Canis lupus familiaris: one gene and its partners. The protein of the gene in region 3 interacts with the protein of the main gene of each other region in a pairwise test. Links are inferred from orthologs where the notes say so. Each region holds a gene or a part of one and is shown on either strand. Other genes may lie near its edges.

Evidence for each region.
Region 1: the proteins of TRIM42 (region 3) and KLHL38 interact in binary tests that used the Homo sapiens proteins (3 or more experiments, as listed by UniProt). The two-hybrid records come from large-scale screens. The link is inferred for Canis lupus familiaris from reciprocal best matches to the Homo sapiens genes TRIM42 and KLHL38.
Region 2: the proteins of TRIM42 (region 3) and EMD interact in binary tests that used the Homo sapiens proteins (3 or more experiments, as listed by UniProt). The two-hybrid records come from large-scale screens. The link is inferred for Canis lupus familiaris from reciprocal best matches to the Homo sapiens genes TRIM42 and EMD.

Annotation. Positions count from the first base shown.
Region 1 is NC_049234.1:22,349,004-22,353,093, forward strand, and holds the start of KLHL38 (kelch-like protein 38), read right to left. Parts: upstream 2,801-4,090; 5' UTR 2,529-2,800; intron 2,157-2,528; 5' UTR 1,911-2,156; coding exon 522-1,910; intron 1-521.
Region 2 is NC_049260.1:123,237,323-123,241,394, forward strand, and holds EMD (emerin), read right to left. Parts: upstream 2,783-4,072; 5' UTR 2,694-2,782; coding exon 2,612-2,693; intron 2,525-2,611; coding exon 2,417-2,524; intron 2,255-2,416; coding exon 2,177-2,254; intron 1,950-2,176; coding exon 1,816-1,949; intron 1,383-1,815; coding exon 1,309-1,382; intron 1,232-1,308; coding exon 898-1,231; 3' UTR 501-897; downstream 1-500. Other genes in the region: collagen alpha-1(I) chain-like, read right to left, coding at 3,177-3,503, 3,566-3,925. UniProt on the Homo sapiens protein: Stabilizes and promotes the formation of a nuclear actin cortical network. Stimulates actin polymerization in vitro by binding and stabilizing the pointed end of growing filaments. Inhibits beta-catenin activity by preventing its accumulation in the nucleus.
Region 3 is NC_049244.1:37,251,032-37,254,593, reverse strand, and holds part of TRIM42 (tripartite motif-containing protein 42), read right to left. Parts: coding exon 3,120-3,562; intron 87-3,119; coding exon 1-86.

The sequences.
Region 1 (4,090 bases), on a different chromosome or scaffold from region 3:
TGTTTGGGAATCTTCTTCTAAGGCTTTGCTGATTTGAGTTAGAAACATCTTCAAAATTCCTATAAACTTCACTCTCTGACACTCAATGTGTTCTAACTTAAACTTTTTTTTTTTTTTTTTTAACTTTCAGATACACTAGTTTCTTCAGCAAATCAACTCTTCGTGGACAGGGATCGTATCTGACGTTCCTTTGTATTCTTACAAAGGATTAATTGTGTATTAATCTTACACAACAAGAGCTCATAAACGGATAAAATCTTGCTGAATTCAAACTTTCTTCTCTCCTCCCTTCCTTCCATCCTTCCTTTCCTCCCTCCTTTATGCTTTCCCTGCAAACAACAGTGTGTATTATATGCACTCATGCATGCATGTATAGATGTATGCATGTATGTACACACGTGTGTATGCATGTGTGTATTTATGTGTGTACAGGTATAAGTGTGTATGTGTGTGCACACACACGTGTGTATGCCTGAGTGTACCCTCATGCACTTACGTGATGGGAAGGACCAGCCATTTACCTGGATAAGGCGTACAGGATTTTGCATGATGTCCTCTCCCCCAAAAAGGTAGAGTCTTTGGTCTTTCACAGCGACTGCAGGGTGGAGGACCCCCACCGGCATGCTGGCCATACTTTCCCAGATGTTGAAGATGCTGTTGTATCTCTCCATGGAGCCCATGACCTCCTGCCCTTCCCCAATCCCCCCGATGGAGAAGATGAAGTTCTTATGGGCAGTGCTTCTGTGGGAGTAGCGGGCCACCAGCATGGGCTGCCCCAGCCTCCACTGATTGAGCTTCAGGGAGTAAATGTAGACGTTGTGGCTGGGCACATTCTTCCCTGCACCGACAGCCATGCCTCCTAGCACGTAGATGCTGCGGTGCAAGGTGACAGCTGAGGCCTTGTACAGCCGGGTTGGGAGTTTGGCAAGGTTCTCCCACTGGTTGGTCTGTCTGTTGTACAGCAGAACATCCCTGGTGGTCTCTTGGTTGTCCTTCCTTCCGCCCAAGAGGATGAGGAAATCTTGATAAGAGGTTCTTGGGGGGACATGCCATGGAGGCTGGAGGTCTGGGGCACTGGTGGTGACATATGAGGCAAACATCTGCCTCTTGGCTGTCTCCAGGATGGTCCGGCACGAGGGCGAGGACTGTAGGAGGGCCTCGTTGGCGATGAAGTGGTGGAAGAAGGCCGGGTGGATGTACTGAAGCCTGACCTGCTCGAACAGCTCCTGCACGTGTCGTTTCCGGGCCTGGAGGTCATGCTTGACCCAAACCATGAGGGCCTCGAACACCTTTTCCTCCTCCCCACAGAGCCCATCGTCCCCCAGGTAGTCTCTCAGTTCCAGGGCGCAGAGCTCCTTCAGGTCGGCCGACGTGGCCACCTCTGGGAAACGCGTCAGGGCCACCTCCCGGGCTTTCTTCTTGAGGGTCTCACAACTTAAGATTTCAGAGAGTCTGATCATGCCCAGGCAGTTGCTGGGGGTCAGCTGGCTCTGGAGGTAGGAGGAGCAGGCCTCCAGCAGCTTGGGGTACTGCAGCATGGAGGCTGCCTCCATCAACGGCAGGACGTTGTCCGCGGTGATGCGCACCTGCCCGGTGTACACATACGAGACGATCTGCTCCAGGGTCCCGGCCTCGATGCCTTTCAGCTGGACCTTGGCCTCACGTCTCTCCCGGAAGTTGCTACAGAACATGGCTCTGAAGTAGGGGCTGCTGGAAGCCAGGACGCTTCGGTGGCACGGGACCTCCTGGGTCCCCGTACAGATGCTCACATCGGTCAGCATCCTGTTTTGCCTGAAGCCATTGAGCTGCCTCAACAATTCAGAGGAGAAGTCATGGTCTTTGAAGAGCAGCCCATCTGGCAACTCCTCGTCCATCCTGCCAGGGGGGGCGGAGGTCCCAAGGGGTAGCATGTGCCGAAGGGTTGGCCTGCGCTGTCTCTCAGCCTTAGTGCATCTATGTCCACCCACCAAGATGCTTATGGATTTCACCCAGAATGTTGCTTAGTGAAGACTGGAAAGAGCAGCCACCTACACCCCAGACCTCACAGCCGACACCTCTTTTTTTGTTGTTTTTTGTTTTGTTTTGCTTTGTTTTGTTTTTTGTTCCCAGTTGTGATTACTCCCAAAGGTAATAGGCAAATAGCATCTTCAGATCATCTGAGGGGAAAAAACAAAAAGAACCACCAACATTTTGGAAGTTACCTGATTGTCAGGGGCTGAAATGTTAGCTTGAAGCAAGGGGACCGTCCGTGCATCTGAGCAGCCCAAGTCTGTGAGCCTCCTCCGGGTGTTAGTCATTCCCCGAGGATGTCGTTCTGGGGATGTGGCCCTCTGGTAACTAGATGGTACTAAAGGATGAGAATGGGCCTCTGCAATTTAATTTTTAAAACGTGGCTTCATAGAGGCTTTGGGGTTTTGTTTAAAGATGTGATAAATAGAAAGCAGAGAGCAAACGGTACTCTGGGCAGGGTTTCCTGGGTGACACCTGGTTGTCTACCTGCAGGAGAATTAACCGTTAGAGGTTTTTACCTTGGTTTGCTGCAGTGACATCCACCGATGCCTGGTCCGGCTGGTCCCTCCGGAGAGCTTCCACCTCTGCTCCAAGTGAAACCATAAACCCAGGCCTTTCCTTCAGTTGGCAAATGATTTGTCCTGGGAGAGTTCTGGATTTGTTTATGCTAACGGTGCTTTCGCAGTTTTCTAGAACTTCGGGAAAGAAGCACTGGGCAGGGAGACAGTGTATACATTCCAGAGCTAAGAATAGTTGCATATGTACTTTCCACTGTGATGACATGTGACTGTCCAGTTGCCTTTTGCAGCCACCCAAGGACCCGCGGGGCCAGCGCATGCCCACATGCCTTGTTTCCTTGGCAAGTGTTTACATGGGCATAAATAGATCCTGAGGAACAGCTTCTCTTAGAGCAGACTTCACTGCCCACTTGGACACATCTCGAGTCCCTTGTCCTAAAAGTGCCTGGGAATTCTAGATGTTTGTAAACAGGTTGCTGTGACCTGGGACAGTCACTGAAGATAGTCCTGGGCAAGTTGAAGGTGATGCACGGTCTTAGGGAAGCCAGTACATGGGCCCAAGGGTACTGTCTGCCGACAGGGTCATTGGAGAGGGCTGTGATTCCCACCTGCGGGCTCCGAGGTGATGGAGTCTCTGACAAAAGTTGTTTTTAATATTTGTGGAGCACCCCAGAGTTTCTAGACGCAGGAAAGATCAAGCATTTGTTGGTCCCCCTGACACCAGGGGCTTCTGTTTTAGAGTGGCAAGGATTGTACTCTTTTAGGTCATAGCTGCCTCTCACAGAGACATGCTGATTGTTCTTCAGTTGGTTTTTTTTTTTAATTAAGATTTTACTTATTTATTTGAGAGAGAGAAAGAGAGAACAAACAGGGGAGTAGGCAGTGGGGAGGGGCAGGAGGAGAGGGAGAAGCAGGCTCCATCCCAGGGCCCTGGGATCCTGGCCTGAGCTGAAGGCAACCGCTTAACTGACAGAGCCACCCAGCCATCCCTCTTCAGTTTTTTTTTTTTTTTTTTTTCAATGGTTCAGCCTGGTTTTTCTGTTTTACTTTTCCATTTTCTTCCATCAGGGAGTCTTGAGCCAGAGGCAGGAGGCAGGAGGCAAGACATCTCTCTCCATGGTGTGTCAGAGAGAGGGGAGGAAGGAAGAGGTGGAGGAGGAAGGACGGGGTGAGAAGGGAAGAGAGGGAGTGAGGGAGAAGAAGAAGGAAAGAGAGGAGGAGGCGGCCCCCAAGTGTAAGAATCAGGGCCACGATGGCTGCATGTAGAAACACAAGGGCGATTAAAAGGGAGCCCAGCTCCGTCCTGCCTCTGCCCCCCATGAGGTGCTGATTGAGTGCACCAGCAGCGAGTGGCAGGGAAGCCTGGTTTGTTCTCCTTCTCACGTCTTGCTCAATTTTTTCACTTGCTCCCTGTCTCTCTCCCTCCAGTACAACCACCCTGAGGAATCAGCAGAGTAACCCCAAGGAAGGCAAAACAGAATTTTTTTTTAAAGATTTTATTTATTTATTCATGACAGACACACACAGAGAAAGGCAGAGACACAGGCAGAGGGAGAGGCAGG
Region 2 (4,072 bases), on a different chromosome or scaffold from region 3:
AGGTGGAGGTGCTCGCCTCCCGCACAGAAAACCTGGAGATAAGCAAGAACATAGGCAGGTGAGGGGTGGGATTTACACAGGGGTGATGCGGCATCCTGTGGGCCTCTCCCCCCCCCCGGACAAGCGGCCGCCCGGGAGGAGCCCGCCACTCGCCGCATTTCCTCCCTGTCCACCTGCCCTTGGGTACTGAGGCCGGCTGTCGGCTCCTCCCTGTCGGAACATCTGTAGCCAGTGCTGTGCACGCACCCTCACCTGCATTTATGGGGGAGCTCTCTGCATCCCGTGGGGGCACGCTTCTTTGCCTAGTTACAGCAGCTTTGGGTCACGAGTCAGGGAGCAAACCCTACCAGTAAAGCACAAACGTGCCCGTGGGTAGCATGCGATCCCTACCCCAACCCCAAAGCAAGAAGGGAGAGCGAACAAAGCCAGATGTTGCTCGTGGAGACCCAAGGCCTGGAGGCTCCCAGCCCAAGTCCTTCCCAGCAAAGAGAGCCCACACGTTAAAAATAAATGGTCTTTTTATTGTGTCCACGAAAACAAAGTCAGGGTGGCCTGGGTTAATCCCCCCCGACGAGGTGACAACAGACAGGAGGCATGCAATGACAACAACCATGTTCTCCTCTCCAGGAGAAGGGTCTTACCCTCCTGGGCCCTGGATCAGAGGCAAGCAGGACCAGGAGACTCCAGAGGAAGGCCTGCCCGGGCCCGCCATGCCGCGGAGGGCCTGGGCTTGCCACCTCCTGGGCAGAACGAGGCAGGGGAGCAAGCACTGCCCTGGGCCAAGCCCAGCACACCGAAGCTAGAACACACAGAAAAGCCCCCACCCCCTCCCCCAGCAGACACTACTAAGGCAGTCAGCCAGGACTTCCGGGAACAGCTGGCCACGAAGCCAGCCCCTCAGGGCTCCGTCCAGAAGGGATTGCCATCCTCAGCCTGCATGGAGTAGTAAACAAAGAGCAGGAAGGCAGCAAAGACCAGGAACAGGAGCAGCTGGCCCCAGAGTGGGACCTGGCGGTCCTGGCCCAGACCAGCCCCAGGGGCCTGCTTTTCTGGCCGGATAGCACGACGGGTGAGCCACGAAGTGGGGGAAGATGAAGATGAGGATATGGGAGAGGTGGAAGAGGGTGTGGGATAATAGGACAGGCCCAGGGAGCTTCTGGAGATGTTGGAAACAGGGCGGTAGTGCACGATGTTCTGGTAGGCGCTGTCCCGGCCATACCCGGAGCGTTCCCTGAGGCAGAGGACAGCAGGTGAGCCAGGGGGCCTGCGCCCAGAACCACCCGCTGCCTGGCCCTTCCTGCCACTCACCTGTCCTTGCTGTCCTCTTCAGAAGAGAAGAGACTGTCATCGCGCACCTGCAGGTAACAGTCAGGGAGAGGGGAACTGGCCAGCAGAGTCAGCAGCCTGTAGCCTGTCCCGTCCTCACTGCAAACTAGCCTAGCTGAAACACCCGGACCCTGTTCCCTCCAAAACCCTCCTGAGTTACCAGCCTTAGCCCGGTAGGGCTTTGTCACCCGCTCCACAACTCGACAGGTATCCTGGCCGCCTGCACCTTACTTTCTGCCCCGGGGGGTCTGAGAAAGATCTCAAACCTAGATCCCAGGTCAGGGTGCACGGCGTCCCAGGTGCCCTAGTGTTAGGTCTGACACTCCCCCAAGGACGGCCCTGCCAAGGGAGGTGTGCACTTACCTTGCCTCTCGGGAAGCACAGGGCCTACCGCGTGCGCCCCCCCCCCCCCCCCCCCCCGTCCAGGTTTTGTCCAAGCCCAGCTATGACCCCCACAGGTTGTATGCAGGTGCTCGGCAGCCAACTCACCTGGTGGTGAAAGGTGTCCGAATCTGCGAGTGAAGCTGATGGCTGGCGGAAGCCCTTGGAGGAGCCCACAGGCTCAGGGTCCCCGTAGGTCCTGGTGCTCAGGTAGCTCTCCTCGTAGTAGTCATCGCCGTAGCCTTGGGAAGGGGGGGAGAGCGGTAGCAAGGTGCACAGTGGCTGCGCCCACCTGGCCCTAATCTCAGTCCCACGTGGGAGCCTGTGGCACCGTCTCTCCCCTCTGGGGCTGCTGAGGATGACGGGCTTGAGATCCCAGGTCCCCCCAACACCAGGCTCCCTGAGGGAGGGGGTAAGGGTGACAGGGTGCCCCCCCCAGGGTGCCCCCCCCCCGCCCGCCCAGCCTTACCCTTGCTCTGGTAAAGCAAGGCGTCTTCTTTCTTGGGCAGATCGTACATATCCGAGTCCACGGATGCCGAATCTAAGTCTGAGGGGGGGGGGGCGGGACCATTTGCCCCCGGCTCCCCTCCCTTCTTCCTGTGCCCCTCCCAGCCACCGCCCCTGCCACACCCTCCGGACCCCGTGCCCCCCGTCGCCCAAACCCCGTCCCCCTGGGAGGCCAGGTGGAGATCCGGGGCGGGGGCCTCACCCGAGAACCGATAGGAGAAATTGAAGGCGGACGAGTTGGGGGGCGACAGCCTCCGCCTCTGGGTCTCGTACTCGAAGATCTTCTTTTCGTAGAGCTTGCGAGTGGAACCTGGCCAGACACGGGACGCGGGGCGTCAGGGCCGCGGGCCGGACCCCGGGGGGGGGGCGGGGAGGGGGCGCGCTCGCCGCCGCGTACCCACGACAGGCCCGTGCGGGATGTTGTACTGGCGCAGCACGGCGGCCAGCTCGGCGTCCGACAGGACCGCGTAGTCGTCCATGGCGGGCGGCGGGGACCCGGGGGCCCGGGCCTGGCGGGCGGCGGGCGGCGGGGAGCTGGGGGGGCCCGGGCCTGGCGACGCGGGCCCAGCTACCGCTGCCTCCGAGCACGGCGGGGGCGGCGCGAGCGTCTCGGGAGCGGCAGCGCTCGCGTCACGCCTGCGTCACGCTCGCGTCACGGCCGCGGGCTCTGCGGACTGCGCGCGGGGCGGGGCGGGGCCGGGCCGGCGGCGCCGGCGCGGAGCGGGGGACCGTGGGAGCGGGCGGGGCGGGCGTCATGACGTCAGACGTCGCAAGCGGGCGGGATAGGCTGGCGGCGGCGGCGGGGCGGGGCCGCGCTCCGGAGGGGCGGGGCCCGCCGGCCGAGGGGCGTCACGCGCTGGCGCGCAGGGGCGGGGCTCGAGCGAGGAGTCGGGCTTGCGGGGGCGGGGACGAGCGTGGGCTCGCCGCGACGTGGGGGCGGGGCGGGGCGGGCGGTCGAGGCGTCACCGGCTGGCGTGTCGGGGTCGGGAGGGCGGGGGTGGGGACCTACGCAAGTCGAACCGGCAGAAACCGGCCAGGACAGGAAAGCGGCGCAGGACTGACGCGCTGGGCGCGGCTCGCGCTCCCTGAGTCACGCGGGCTCCGACGGTCCCCGCAGCCCCCTGCCCCCTCCGCACCCCGCGCTCCCCGGCCGCCCCGGGCCGGCCGCGCCTCCGCCGCAGCGCGAAGGGACCCCGATCCCGAGAGCGGGCCCTCGGGGCCGCGGGGCCCAGGCCCGGGCAGCAGCCGCCTCGGCCCCCGGTGCCACCCCGCCCCGCTCCGCTCTCCACCTGCGCCCGTCGTCCCGCAGGTCCCCAGCGCCTCCCACCCTCCCTCCCTCCCTCCCTCCCACTGCGCCCGGGAGGAAATGGGGCACTGGGCCAGGAGGCCGCGGGCACCCCAGGAGCGGGCATCCTTGCAAGGCACTGGGCGTGCCCGTGGGCGCTGGCAGGGGGCCGAGCCCGGCGTGCGGGCGGCGGCCAGCGTGCGCCCGACCCCCGCGCCAGCCACCTGGGGCGTCGGGGCTTTCCTCTGCTGTCCAGGGCGTCCCCGTGGCAGCCTGGGGGGGCGGGGAGCCTTCAAGCCCCCGACGACCTGCTGGGCCGGCTCTGCGCGCTTGGGCCTGGGTGGGCCCCGGGGTGAGCCGAGCACAGGGGGCCCCGGCGTACTCGCGGGTGAGCGCGCGAGGTTGCAAGGCCGTGGAGAGCCTGCACTGTCATTAGGAATTCGTGAAGGCCTTGGTCGCAAAGAGCTGTTCTGGGGGGATTGGAAAGGTGGTGACAATCATATTCTAAATGAAGCCAACTCAGGGAATGTGGGTACAAATGAAGCGCCCCCCCCCCCCGGAGGCCCAGAACTA
Region 3 (3,562 bases):
CGCACATTGTTAGGAGGGGTAGTAATGAGTTCATAAAATTCCATCTCAAAAGAGTCCACATCTTCTGTTGGGCATGTCCAATAAACCTATGAAGCAATGAACATGTGGCTGTGATACTAATATATACCATTCAGCTTTCTTTCCTATAAAGATTTGTGTCACTGTCAGTGGGGTGAGTTTAAGCTGACCCCAACTCTTCCAGCTGCTACGGACTTTGGCATAGACTATGTTCAACAGCCTTGAAAGGCTGCCTGATAAGGCCTAACATGTTGCTCGTGATGCATTTCAAGAACAAAAGAATGCCCCTCTGGGTTCTGTTACCATCACCCAAAATGACGGGACCACTGTTCTTACACAACTAAGCAAGGTAGATGCCATTTATTGAACATGTTCTATGCATCAGATTCTCTGTCAGACATTCCTTTACTCACCTAGTTTTTACAACTCCCTTAAAGGGAAATTTTATCATCCCATTTTACAGTTAAGGCTCAGGAAGGTTACATTTAGCAATTTCTAATAGAACCACAGACCAACCAAGATGAAAAGTGTATCTATTCCAACCCTCTCTTTTACACACAAGGAAGTAGAATACCAGAGAGGTGAAATGACTTACCCAAGTTATGGAGAATATATGTTCACACTCAAAACATAAAATTTCAACTTTTGGAAAGAGATATTTAACAAGTGTCAATTAGCAGCTTGTGCCTGGGATATAAATATTTTATACTGATTATATTTCTATGCAGTTACTGTGTTCTTAAAGTTTTAATAAATTCAAATGTTATTACATTTATATAATTAATTTTTTAATACTCATAAGAGCATACATTTTTGTGAATTTATATAATTTTTGGTTATTTTTATATATTTATACTTGTAAAACTTTTTATAAATTTATATAACTCATCAGTAAAAATTATTTTTTTTTCTGATTATCAAAACTAACATACTCATTGTAAAAGACCTGGAAAGTATAGAAAAAATATAAGGGGTGAAAATAAATATCACTTATAATCCCCAAATTCTGTTAATAATTAATTTCTTTCCAATTTTGGGACATACACAAATACAGAGATACACATAATTTGGATTATATTGCTTTGATTCTTCTTTTCTTTCACTTGTTATACTTTACATATTTCCCTATATTATGAAAAACTTAGTAAAGCACCACTTTAATAATTGTCCCATAAGTGATTTAATCTTTCATAGTTGAACATTTAGGTTGTTTCTAATTTTATAGTCTAATAAATAATGATGCAATGAAGACTTTTGGGGCATGAATCTTTATCTGAATTTTTAATCATTTCTCTGGGAAAGATTTCTAGAAATAAAATTGAATTTTTAGAAAAAACTCCTTAGGATTTTTAAGATACATATTGACAAGTTATAAGACTAACATTAAGGATTTTTCCTATGCCAAAAGCCTAAGAGGACTGTCAACCATCATTTGTGAGAGAAAGCAACATTAAGTTAATCTTTGGCATTACTGAGCACTATGTTTCCCATGTGAATTCCATCCCATCATCCTAATAGGGATCAATGATATCTTCACACCAAAAACCACTATTTGGTAGTAGGTTTAGGTGTTCTGTCTCTGTCTCTCTCTCTCTCTCTCTTTTTTTAGGTGTCCTCTTTTGACAATGTCTTGCTTGACTAGGTTTTCCTATGTAGGCCTGTTTCTTGGGCTCCTCCAGGGACCACTAGCCAGTGGCATGGAGTGACTGTTTTCCAAGCCCAAGTATGGAGCAGATATCACTAGTCCTTCCCTTCCAGAGCAAGAAACTGCCAACCTCCTAAGCAATCTAAGTTGCATGGAGAGACCTAAGGTCATAACTGAGCTAATGTCACATACACTTTAGGCTTTGCTGATCTAGTTTCATTGGGAGATGAAAGTTCAGCTGCTCAGTTGTGGGTATCTCTTACATGAAGGGCAGAGATACTTTGCTGTGTCTGATAGCCCATGGGAAGGTATATTCTACTTTGCAATGTAGGTCATTCTTGCTGGCAATTATAGACTCTAAAACACAGATTATGATGTCTCAGGAGAACAGCAAAGTAAAGCTTGGTCAGTGTCTGGCTTTCATTTTCTTGCTTTTAGACCCTTGATGTTAAAGTGTGGTGTGCAGACTGGCAGCAATGGCAACACCTGGAAGGTTGTTAGAAACATAAAATCTCAGGACCCCCTGAGGCCCACTGAAACAGAATCTGAATTTTAACAAGACTTCCAGGTGCACATTAATGTTTGAGAATCAATGGGTTAGAGTTCAAGGATGCTAAAAATCTTTGGGAGCGTTCTCAAAACAAAAGATGGGTGGCAAAAGATGGGTTTTGCCACACAAAAGCAGGCCAAGGGCTGGTCTGGAAGATGTCCGTGTAGGGAACCCTAAGAGAGGCAAGGTAGCTCTAATAGAATATCTAATTGCAAGTTATTCTGTTTCCCTCCCTGAACCTTCATAACACATTCTATAAACAGTTCAATGTAGATTCAGCTGGATTTGAAAGGAATATCAAGGGAAGGGTCATTTGTCCATGTTAAGCCAAGAGGGTCAGGGAGGAGTTGTGTCCCCTGAAGTCAGATGATAGAAGCTATAGAGGTCTGTGAGAGATCCACGTCCCCCAAAATTTGAATCTCAGTAGGTTAGAATTGGAATTCCACTGGGGATTATCCTTCCATTCTTTCCAAATCATCGAGAGTATGGACACTTTCTTTAGGAAAGGTAGCAATTTAGAGGAATCACAGCCTATATTTCTAACTTGAATTTCTGTGTTCTCTCTACTCTTATAGGTTTTCCCCTGGGAAATATTACACCCTCCAATCAGTCTCTTCATATTACTTTGGTTCCCAATTGGATTGCCCTTGAATGGGGTTGGGGCTTTCAGGATGTATTTTTGTCTATGAGTTAAATATGTTGTTTGGTTTAAGCCAATCTTGGGGTACTTAAGATTTTAGGAACTTATCCCTTTTGAATGGGCTGACCCTGAGGAATGCAAAGGAGCAGACTTGAGTGACTAGACCCTAGAGGTCAAAGAGGTAAGTGCAACCTTTTCTGACTACCCACTTCCATTTTGTACCCCACATCCTCCCACCTTCCCCACAGGCCCAGAGCCTTTCTTACCTTGGCGGCTCTAGGATACACCAGAGTCTGGTAGATAACAATTGGGCCTGGGGTCTTCACAGAACCATCATTGAATGAGTACCAGTTGTGGAAGCTGTTGCTGTTCTGCACAGACTGGTTTTCTGCCCCTGCGCTCCAGTATGTATAGAGGCCATCTGTGGGTTTGGCAGGTGAGGCAGATTGGGCTCGCCCATAGGCTTCCAGACCCATCTTGGCCTTCTCACCACCCGTGGCATTGAAGGACAACAAGGAGGAGCTTCGCTGGTATATCTGTTGGTTGTCGAAGCTGTGAGTGCTGAAAGTAACCTTCCTGGCCATCATCATTTCTGAGTGCATGGGATAGTGGGAGGGCAAGGAGTCCCCTGAGGAGCATACCTTCTTGGGTCCTGTGGGGAAGAGCTCATGGATGGCACTGCTGAGCTCAGCAAAGTCCAGGGGCATAC